Linked DNA regions of Macaca mulatta. The protein of the gene in region 1 interacts with the protein of each later gene in a pairwise test. Links are inferred from orthologs where the notes say so. Each region holds a gene or a part of one and is shown in the gene's direction. Other genes may lie near its edges. The genes, in order: PRMT1 and SPEG.

Region 1 (3,664 bases):
GGGAGCAGGGTGCCTGCATTCCCAGGAGGTCTGGCCAGGTGGGGTCGGGGCGGGGTGGGCTCTGGACAGAGTTAGGGTGGCGGCGCCAGGTTTGGGTGCGGGAGAGAAGGGAGCAAAGAATCTGGGCTCAAACCGAGGCGGTTTATTGGGAGCCGGACAGTCAGGATGAGGAGTGAATGAGGAGCTGAGGCTGGGTGCCAGTAAGGGAGGGCCAGCGGGAAGGGGACAGTGAGGTCACAGGCCCTCTGGGAGCTTGAGGGAGGGAGGAGGGGATGAAGCGAGGTGGGGACACATCCCGGAGCTCACCCTCTCCTGTCCTGCAGGAGGTGGACATCTACACCGTCAAGGTGGAAGACCTGACGTTCACCTCCCCGTTCTGCCTGCAAGTGAAGCGGAATGACTACGTGCACGCCCTGGTGGCCTACTTCAACATCGAGTTCACGCGCTGCCACAAGAGGACGGGCTTCTCCACCAGTGAGGCGGGGCCCGCAGGGCTGGGGGCTGCTCCTGAGCCAGGGCCGAGGGGCACCCACATAGTGGAGGGGGTGACAGAAACGGGCAGAGGGGCCGGGCACGGTGGCTCAAGCCTGTAATCCCAGCACTTTGGGAGGCCGAGGCGGGTGGATCACGAGGTCAGGAGATCGAGACTATCCTGGCTAACATGGTGAAACCCCGTCTCTACTAAAAATACAAAAAACTAGCCGGGCATGGTGGCGGGCGCCTGTAGTCTCAGCTACTTGGGAGGCTGAGGCGGCAGAATGGCGTGAACCTGGGAGGCGGAGCTTGCAGTGAGCCGAGATCACGCCACTGCACTCCAGCCTGGGAGACACAGCGAGACTCCGTCTCAAAAAAAAAAAAAAAAAAAGAAACGGGCAGAGGGAGCCATGGGGACATGTGTGTTCCAGCGTGAGCTCTGCCATGTAGCAGTCACATGGCCTTGGGCAAGTGACCTGAGTGTGCAGTGCCTCAGTTTCCTCATCCACAAAAGCCTGACACGGTCCCTGTCTCCAAAGCTGAATGACAGGGAGGTGACTCACGGACAGCAGTCCCGTCAGCTGTCAGGGGGGTGGACATTCCAACAGAGGGAACACAAGACTGGGGCCAGGGCAGCAGGCCAAGGCCAGCTGACCCGCCTGCGCCCCCAGGCCCTGAGTCCCCGTACACGCACTGGAAGCAGACAGTGTTCTACATGGAGGACTACCTGACCGTGAAGACGGGCGAGGAGATCTTCGGCACCATCGGCATGCGGCCCAATGCCAAGAACAACGTGAGGCTCTGGGCAGCTGGGCAGGAGGGTGGCAGCCGGGGTGGGGAGCATGGATAGGGGCAGTGGTAGGGGGGAATGGTGGCAGCGTAGGGGATGGGGGTAGCTGGGGCGGATGGGGGCAGCTGGCAGGGGCGAGTGCCTCTGCCTGTTCCCGGGTCCCTGAGCCCCTCAGCCCCACGCCTGTCTACACAGCAGATTTCTTAGCATTTACTGGAAGATGGGCCTGGGGACCCAGGCCAAAGCCCTGTCCTCCTGGTGCTTCCAGTCTACACAAGGGGATCAGTGACATGGTGATGCCAGTGGGAGGTGACGTCTGTCAGGCTGGGAGCAGGGCAGACAGGTGTTGGCGTGGGTGACCTCCAGGGCAAGAGGCGGCCCCGGTAGAGCGCACAGGGTTTGCTAGCCCAGGTGGGAGGCATGAGAGGAGGAGAAAGGCAGCTTTTTGTTTTCCACTCCCCCTTTTTCCTCCTGAGCACCTGGTAGGAGCTGCCATCACCTGAGATCAGGGGGTTTCCAGGGGAGCTGGGGGGGGCTTCTGGGAGAGAGGGTCTGGGCAGAGAGGTCCAGTGTGGCGGGTTTGAGCAGGCAGGAGGATGGAAGGCCGGGAGCCTGGAGTCACCGGGAGTGGTGTGGGCTGGAAGAGTGAGTCCCGGCCCATGGGTGCGAGGGTGGGTGGCACTCAGGGCAGTCATGGAATGTGGGCCCCGGGACGCCCTCGAGCCCGTGACAGCAGCAGTTGTCAGCTGGGCAGTTTCAGTGCCCCCCACCCCCGACAGAGGACGTTCGTCACCATCTGTGGAAACATTTGTGGTTGTCACTCTGGAGAAGGGGTGCTCCTGGCATCTGGTATGTAGGGGCCAGGGGCTGGTAAACGTCCTACAACCACAGGACCACCCCCTGCAAAGACTCCTGTAGCCCCTGGGGCCACGGCGCTAGCTGGGAAACAGATACTGGAGAGGGAGGAGGAGTCCTCGGGGCTGTTGGCAACTTGATCCCCTCTTCCTGTGCTGGAGGGTATGGGGGGTCTTCCGGAAGCCTGGGAGGAGAAGTGGAGACAGAGGCTGGACCACTGCGTTTCACTGGAATGTTTGCCTGAGCAGAAGTGGGCTTGGGAGAGGTTTTCTGATTTATGAAAGAAGCAATCACTGCGTTGCTGATAGGGAACGTCTTGATGGAGAAATCCAAGGGCAAGGGATAGCAGCCAGGCTCTGCTCCTGAGTGAACCTAGTGGGCTTGAGGGTGTCCACGTGGCGCTGTCCCTTGACAGGGTCAGGACAGCTGCTAGGGTGGGACCAGCAGTTGGGGTCTGCAGTGTGGAGATGGGCAGGAAGCTGGAGCCCAGCGCATGGCCTGCCTGCACCCCCCTGCCACCACCTCCTGGTGGGTTCCGCCCTCATGCCCGCCCTCTCCCCACAGCGGGACCTGGACTTCACCATCGACCTGGACTTCAAGGGCCAGCTGTGCGAGCTGTCCTGCTCCACTGACTACCGGATGCGCTGAGGCCCGGCTCTCCCGCCCTGCACGGGCCCAGGGGCTGAGCGTTCCTAGGCGGTTTCGGGGCTCCCCCTTCCTCTCCCTTCTTCCCACAGAAGGGGGTTTTAGGGGCCTGGGCTGGGGGGATGGGGAGGGCACATCGTGACTGTGTTTTTCATAACTTATGTTTTTATATGGTTGCATTTACGCCAATAAATCCTCAGCTGGGGTCTGGTTCCATTTCCTGGGGGCAAAGGAGGTTTGGGGTTTCCTTCGCAGGTGCTGAGGTGCCAGCCTGAGCAGTGGGGGGACCGGCCTTGGAGCCTGCTGGTGGCTGCCATTCTGTGGATCTGCATCTCCCCTCCCCTGTCGCTAGGCCTCTGGCTCCCTTCCACGGCTCTCTCTCAGGGTCTGTCCCCTCCTCGGCTGTCTCAGGCTCCCTCCGGCTCCCTCCCCTCCACGGCTCTCTCAGGCTCCCTCCCATCCACAGCTGTCTCTCAGGGTCTTTGTCCCACTCTTCATCCCCTCCTGGGTCTGCGCCCCTCCCCTCTGCAGTGCCCCTGTGTCCTCCTGCCTGGTGGGGGATGGGGTTGGCGTTCCAGCACAGCCAGCCCTCAAGTTTCCCAGAACAGTCTCCCCACCTTCCCCCAACACTCACATTGTACCTCTCTGGCTGTTTTTTCCTGTTTGGGTCCCTCCAAGGCCCAACTGTGCCCAGCCCTCTGCAGCTGGGGACACTGAGTGGGTTGGGGGTGTATGTTGGGGAGGATAGAATTTCTTGTGGGGGTGTGGCCCTGCTTCCTCCCCTAGCATGGCTTGGGGCTTAGGGCTGGGGACTTGCCCTCCATGGAGGTCAGTGGGAGTTGCAGCTCAAAGGTGGCAGGGCCTACCCATCTTACAGAGGCCAAGACGAGGCCCCTCTGC
Region 2 (3,802 bases), on another chromosome or scaffold:
GCGCGCATGGGACAGTCGAGAGGTAAGGTAAGATAAAGCCCTCTCTGGCTTCCTTGAGAAGCCTGGGGGTTTTCAGTCTGAGTCCATGTTAACACGCAGTCCACACCTTCCAGGACCCTTGCCCTGCGTTTGACCTAGGCGCCCCCACCCGGCGCTGTGCCCTTCGGCGAGTTCGGTTCTGCCTGGCACAGTGTGTGTGCGCGCATGTTTGTGGAATGAGCAAGTAGAGATGCTGCTGACCTTCCAGAGAGGCCCCGTGGGAGGAGGTGAGGGTGGGAGGAGGCTGCGCTGGGCTGCCAGAAAGTGGCCTGAGCTAGAGGCCATTGCACCCCTTTCTGTGCCTCAGTTTCCTCATGTGCCTAGGGCTCAGGAGGCAGATACAGGGTGGGGGTCCGCGGCTCTCGGCGTCAGGAGGTGACTGGTGGTCGTGTAGGGAGGCAGGTGAGGGCCGCCCCGGGGTAAGCAGGGGGACAGGACAAGGAAGGGGCCCCAGGTGGGGTGCAGGCTGGCGAGGGAGGGGCGGACTCCAGCGCCGCCGCCGCCGCTGCCGCTGCCGTCGCCGCCTTACCCCCACCCGGCTCCCGAGGCCCCGGGCTCCTTCCGCCACCCGCGCCGGCTCCCGCCCGCTCCCCAGCTCGCCCCCGGCCCCGCCTCCGACTCCGCCCCGCCCCCGCCCGTCCCCTCCTCGCCCGGCCGCCGGCCCGGCCCCCTCCCCCGCCATGAAGAAGCTGTGGGTGAAGAAGCGTTTCCAGGTGAGGGCTCCGGGGGCGGGAGGCGCCGGGAGGGGGCAGGGAGGCCTGGGCGCCCCGGAGGGAGGGCGGGTCACCGCAGCTGGGCCCGGTGGAGGGGGCGCTGGAGCCGCGCCTGCCCCACCCGAGCCCCGCTGGAGGCGGCGGGCCGGGCGCGATCTAGGGGCTCCCGGGTTTGCGTCCTGGGCGCGCAGGCCCCTCCCCGCGCTGAAGGGCAGATCCCCCCGCTCCTCGATCGCCCGCAATCCCCGCGACCACCGGGGAAGACCCCCGCTGCAGCGTTCGGCGTGGGGCGCCCACTTGCTTCTTTGCCACCCCTTCTTCTCTCTCCTCTGTCCAACCTCAACCCCGGGCCCCGGCCCCCCGCCCGGCTTGCCCCAGCCCCCCACTCTGGAGCCTTCCATCTTCGGAGCTCCTGAATGCAACGCACACGGATCCGCGCTGAGCTCAACACATTCCCCAAGCCCTGCCCTGTCCTCCGCGCACCTGGGCCTCCTGCATTCGTGAGGCTCTGGCCCTCTGCCCCCAACATCCCTCCCCCACACCTACCCAGGTATCTGTCCTCCCCCAGCAGGAATCTGCGCCCTCGTTCCTTCATCTCCCAGTCACTCAAGCACCCTGCCCCCCGCATCTCCATCTTCTCCTTCTCCTCACTGAGCCTGACTACCTCGTCTTCTATCCTCTTTCTCTGGGGCTGTTGCCCTGGTCCCAGGCTGTGAGCCTCTGTCCAGTGGGACGTTCCAGCTTCCACCTGCAGCCTGCCGTTCTCTCCTTCCTCCCCCGCTCCTCGCAAGAGCCCAGCTGGGTACCCTGGAAGAAGGCAGGGGAGCCATTCCCTACCGGGGAAGCTGGTCACTCTGGGTCTCTGCCCACCTCCCCTCTCACACACACACTGGCCAGGGAATGAGTTTCTGCTTGATGTTGCAGTACTGGATGGGAGGCACAGGGACCTTAAGAACAAGCCTCCCCCTCAACTACTCATTCTGGCTTTTCTCTTTCAGAAAACCGGCCATTCCCGCCGGGCCTTTGGCCGACTCACCCATGGTGCGTGGACCGTGGGCGTCCTTGCTCTAGCCCATGCCTACTCCTCCTCTTGGTCCCTGTCCCTCTGTGAGGCATCAAGGCCCTTGAAGACAGCCCATGAGATATGGGACCCTCCCACACACCCCACACTTATCTACCACCCACCTGACCAGGCCCCCTGTGCCCTACAGCTGAGAGAGGACCCGGCAGCAGGGAGGGCGGCTCGCTAGCACACTGGGTGCCGTGTTCTCCATGTGAGGCCTAGTGGGAAGGAGTTCATTGCCATGCTTTGGCAACCAGTATGTGGCTCCTGCTTGTCATGGCAGCCAGAGGGAAACTGAGGCATAGAACCTGATAGAATCTGGGAAAGTTGAAAATACTCCCAGGAACCTTTGCTCCTAACCTAACCACTGGGCATTTTTGAGGACAATTCAACAGTAGAAGAGAGGGACCTTGAGGAAGGTGCCTGTCACATCATGATGCAGACAGATAAGGGGTTGGTTTGCAAGGAAGGGTCAAAGCACAATGCAAATATTGTAATAGAGGGTGGGCCTGACTCCTAATGGGAGGCCCAGGTCTGCGGCTGGACTGAACACAAGCAGGTGTGTGTGTGTGTGTGTGTGTGTGTGTGTGTGTGGCCAGTGGCGGCACCAGTAAGTGCCAAGGATACCAGAACCACTGGGGCAGCTGGAATAACCAGCCCAAGTATGGGGGTCCCCAGTGCTGGGCACATCCCAGGTATCTCCCTCCTCACCCATTGCCACAGGGCACCTCTGGGGACTGGGTACCTCATGCCCCTTCTGTCCTGACTGCCCTCCATGCCCTGCCCCACAAACGCTCTGATAACAGTCTGTCCCTGTCTCTCTCCTGCTGCTCCTATGGAAGCGAAGTTTTCCGCTCCTGCAGAAAGCAAAGTTACGGTAGGAAACTGGCTCCTGCTCTAGCCCCCCGCGTCCCCCGCTTTCCAACCCGGCCCCGGCCTCTCCTCACCCTGCCTCAGCTGCACCCGATGCCTTCCAGCTGGTTTGGGGTAGAGGACAGGCTGGCCCTGCGGTTGGTCGAGTGCCCTGGCGGTACGACTCTGAGGTGACTCCTCTTTGTTCCTGGGGTGCTTGAACCCAGACTTTAGAACCTTGGAACCTAGGACCTGATGATTTTGGGGGTGCACAGGAGCTTAAGCTTTCACTGACAATGGGAGGAGGGAGAATGGAGGAGGCCCTGATAATCCATTAAGATATTGGCAGATGGGGAGGGGGTGGCAGTTTGGAGGGCCCTACGGAGGTAAACGTGAGTAACCAGGGGCCCAGAGATGGAGCCACGGCACTGTCATGGGAGGGGTTATCCTGAGCAGCCCAGGCTGGGCAGGAGATGTGGGGAGCAAAAGAGAGGAGGTGCTGGCAGCCCTGCCAGTGATAAGATGGAGCCTGCTGTTGGCAGGGAGGCAGAAGGCAACAGGGAAGAGTTGGAGGCAGAGGGAGGAGGGCCCTGCCCACACAGACCCCTTCTTCTCCAGACTCAGAGACGGCTGAGGATGACATCAGCGATGTGCAGGGGACCCAGCGCCTGGAGCTTCGGGATGACGGGGCCTTCAGCACCCCCACGGGTGAGCTCCTGGGGTGTACAAAGAGCAGGCAGGCGGGTTTCCCACAAGGGGTGCCTCAGTCTCATGGTGCTCCTTTCTCTAGGGGGCTCTGACACCCTGGTGGGCACCTCCCTGGACACACCCCCGACCTCCGTGACAGGCACCTCGGAAGAGCAAGTGAGCTGGTGGGGCAGCGGGCAGACGGTCCTGGAGCAGGAAGCGGGCAGTGGGGGTGGCACCCGCCGCCTCCCGGGCAGCCCAAGGCAAGCACAGGCAACCGGGGCCGGGCCACGGCACCTGGGGGTGGAGCCGCTGGTGCGGGCATCTCGAGCTAATCTGGTGGGCGCAAGCTGGGGGTCAGAGGATAGCCTTTCCGTGGCCAGTGACCTGTACGGCAGCGCATTCAGCCTGTACAGAGGACGGGCGCTCTCTATCCACGTGTAAGTAA

The links.
Region 2: the proteins of PRMT1 (region 1) and SPEG interact in binary tests that used the Homo sapiens proteins (3 or more experiments, as listed by UniProt). The two-hybrid records come from large-scale screens. The link is inferred for Macaca mulatta from reciprocal best matches to the Homo sapiens genes PRMT1 and SPEG.

What each region holds. Positions count from the first base shown.
Region 1 is NC_133424.1:62,140,781-62,144,444, forward strand, and holds the end of PRMT1 (protein arginine N-methyltransferase 1), read left to right. Parts: intron 1-323; coding exon 324-474; coding exon of another isoform or gene 475-566; intron 567-866; coding exon of another isoform or gene 867-924; exon of another isoform or gene 925-1,145; coding exon 1,146-1,267; intron 1,268-2,683; coding exon 2,684-2,767; 3' UTR 2,768-2,969; downstream 2,970-3,664. UniProt on the Homo sapiens protein: Arginine methyltransferase that methylates (mono and asymmetric dimethylation) the guanidino nitrogens of arginyl residues present in proteins such as ESR1, histone H2, H3 and H4, FMR1, ILF3, HNRNPA1, HNRNPD, NFATC2IP, SUPT5H, TAF15, EWS, HABP4, SERBP1, RBM15, FOXO1, CHTOP, MAP3K5/ASK1, MICU1 and NPRL2.
Region 2 is NC_133417.1:124,683,316-124,687,117, forward strand, and holds part of SPEG (striated muscle preferentially expressed protein kinase), read left to right. Parts: intron 1-712; exon of another isoform or gene 713-719; coding exon of another isoform or gene 720-752; intron 753-1,750; coding exon of another isoform or gene 1,751-1,793; intron 1,794-2,662; coding exon 2,663-2,692; intron 2,693-3,285; coding exon 3,286-3,375; intron 3,376-3,457; coding exon 3,458-3,794; intron 3,795-3,802.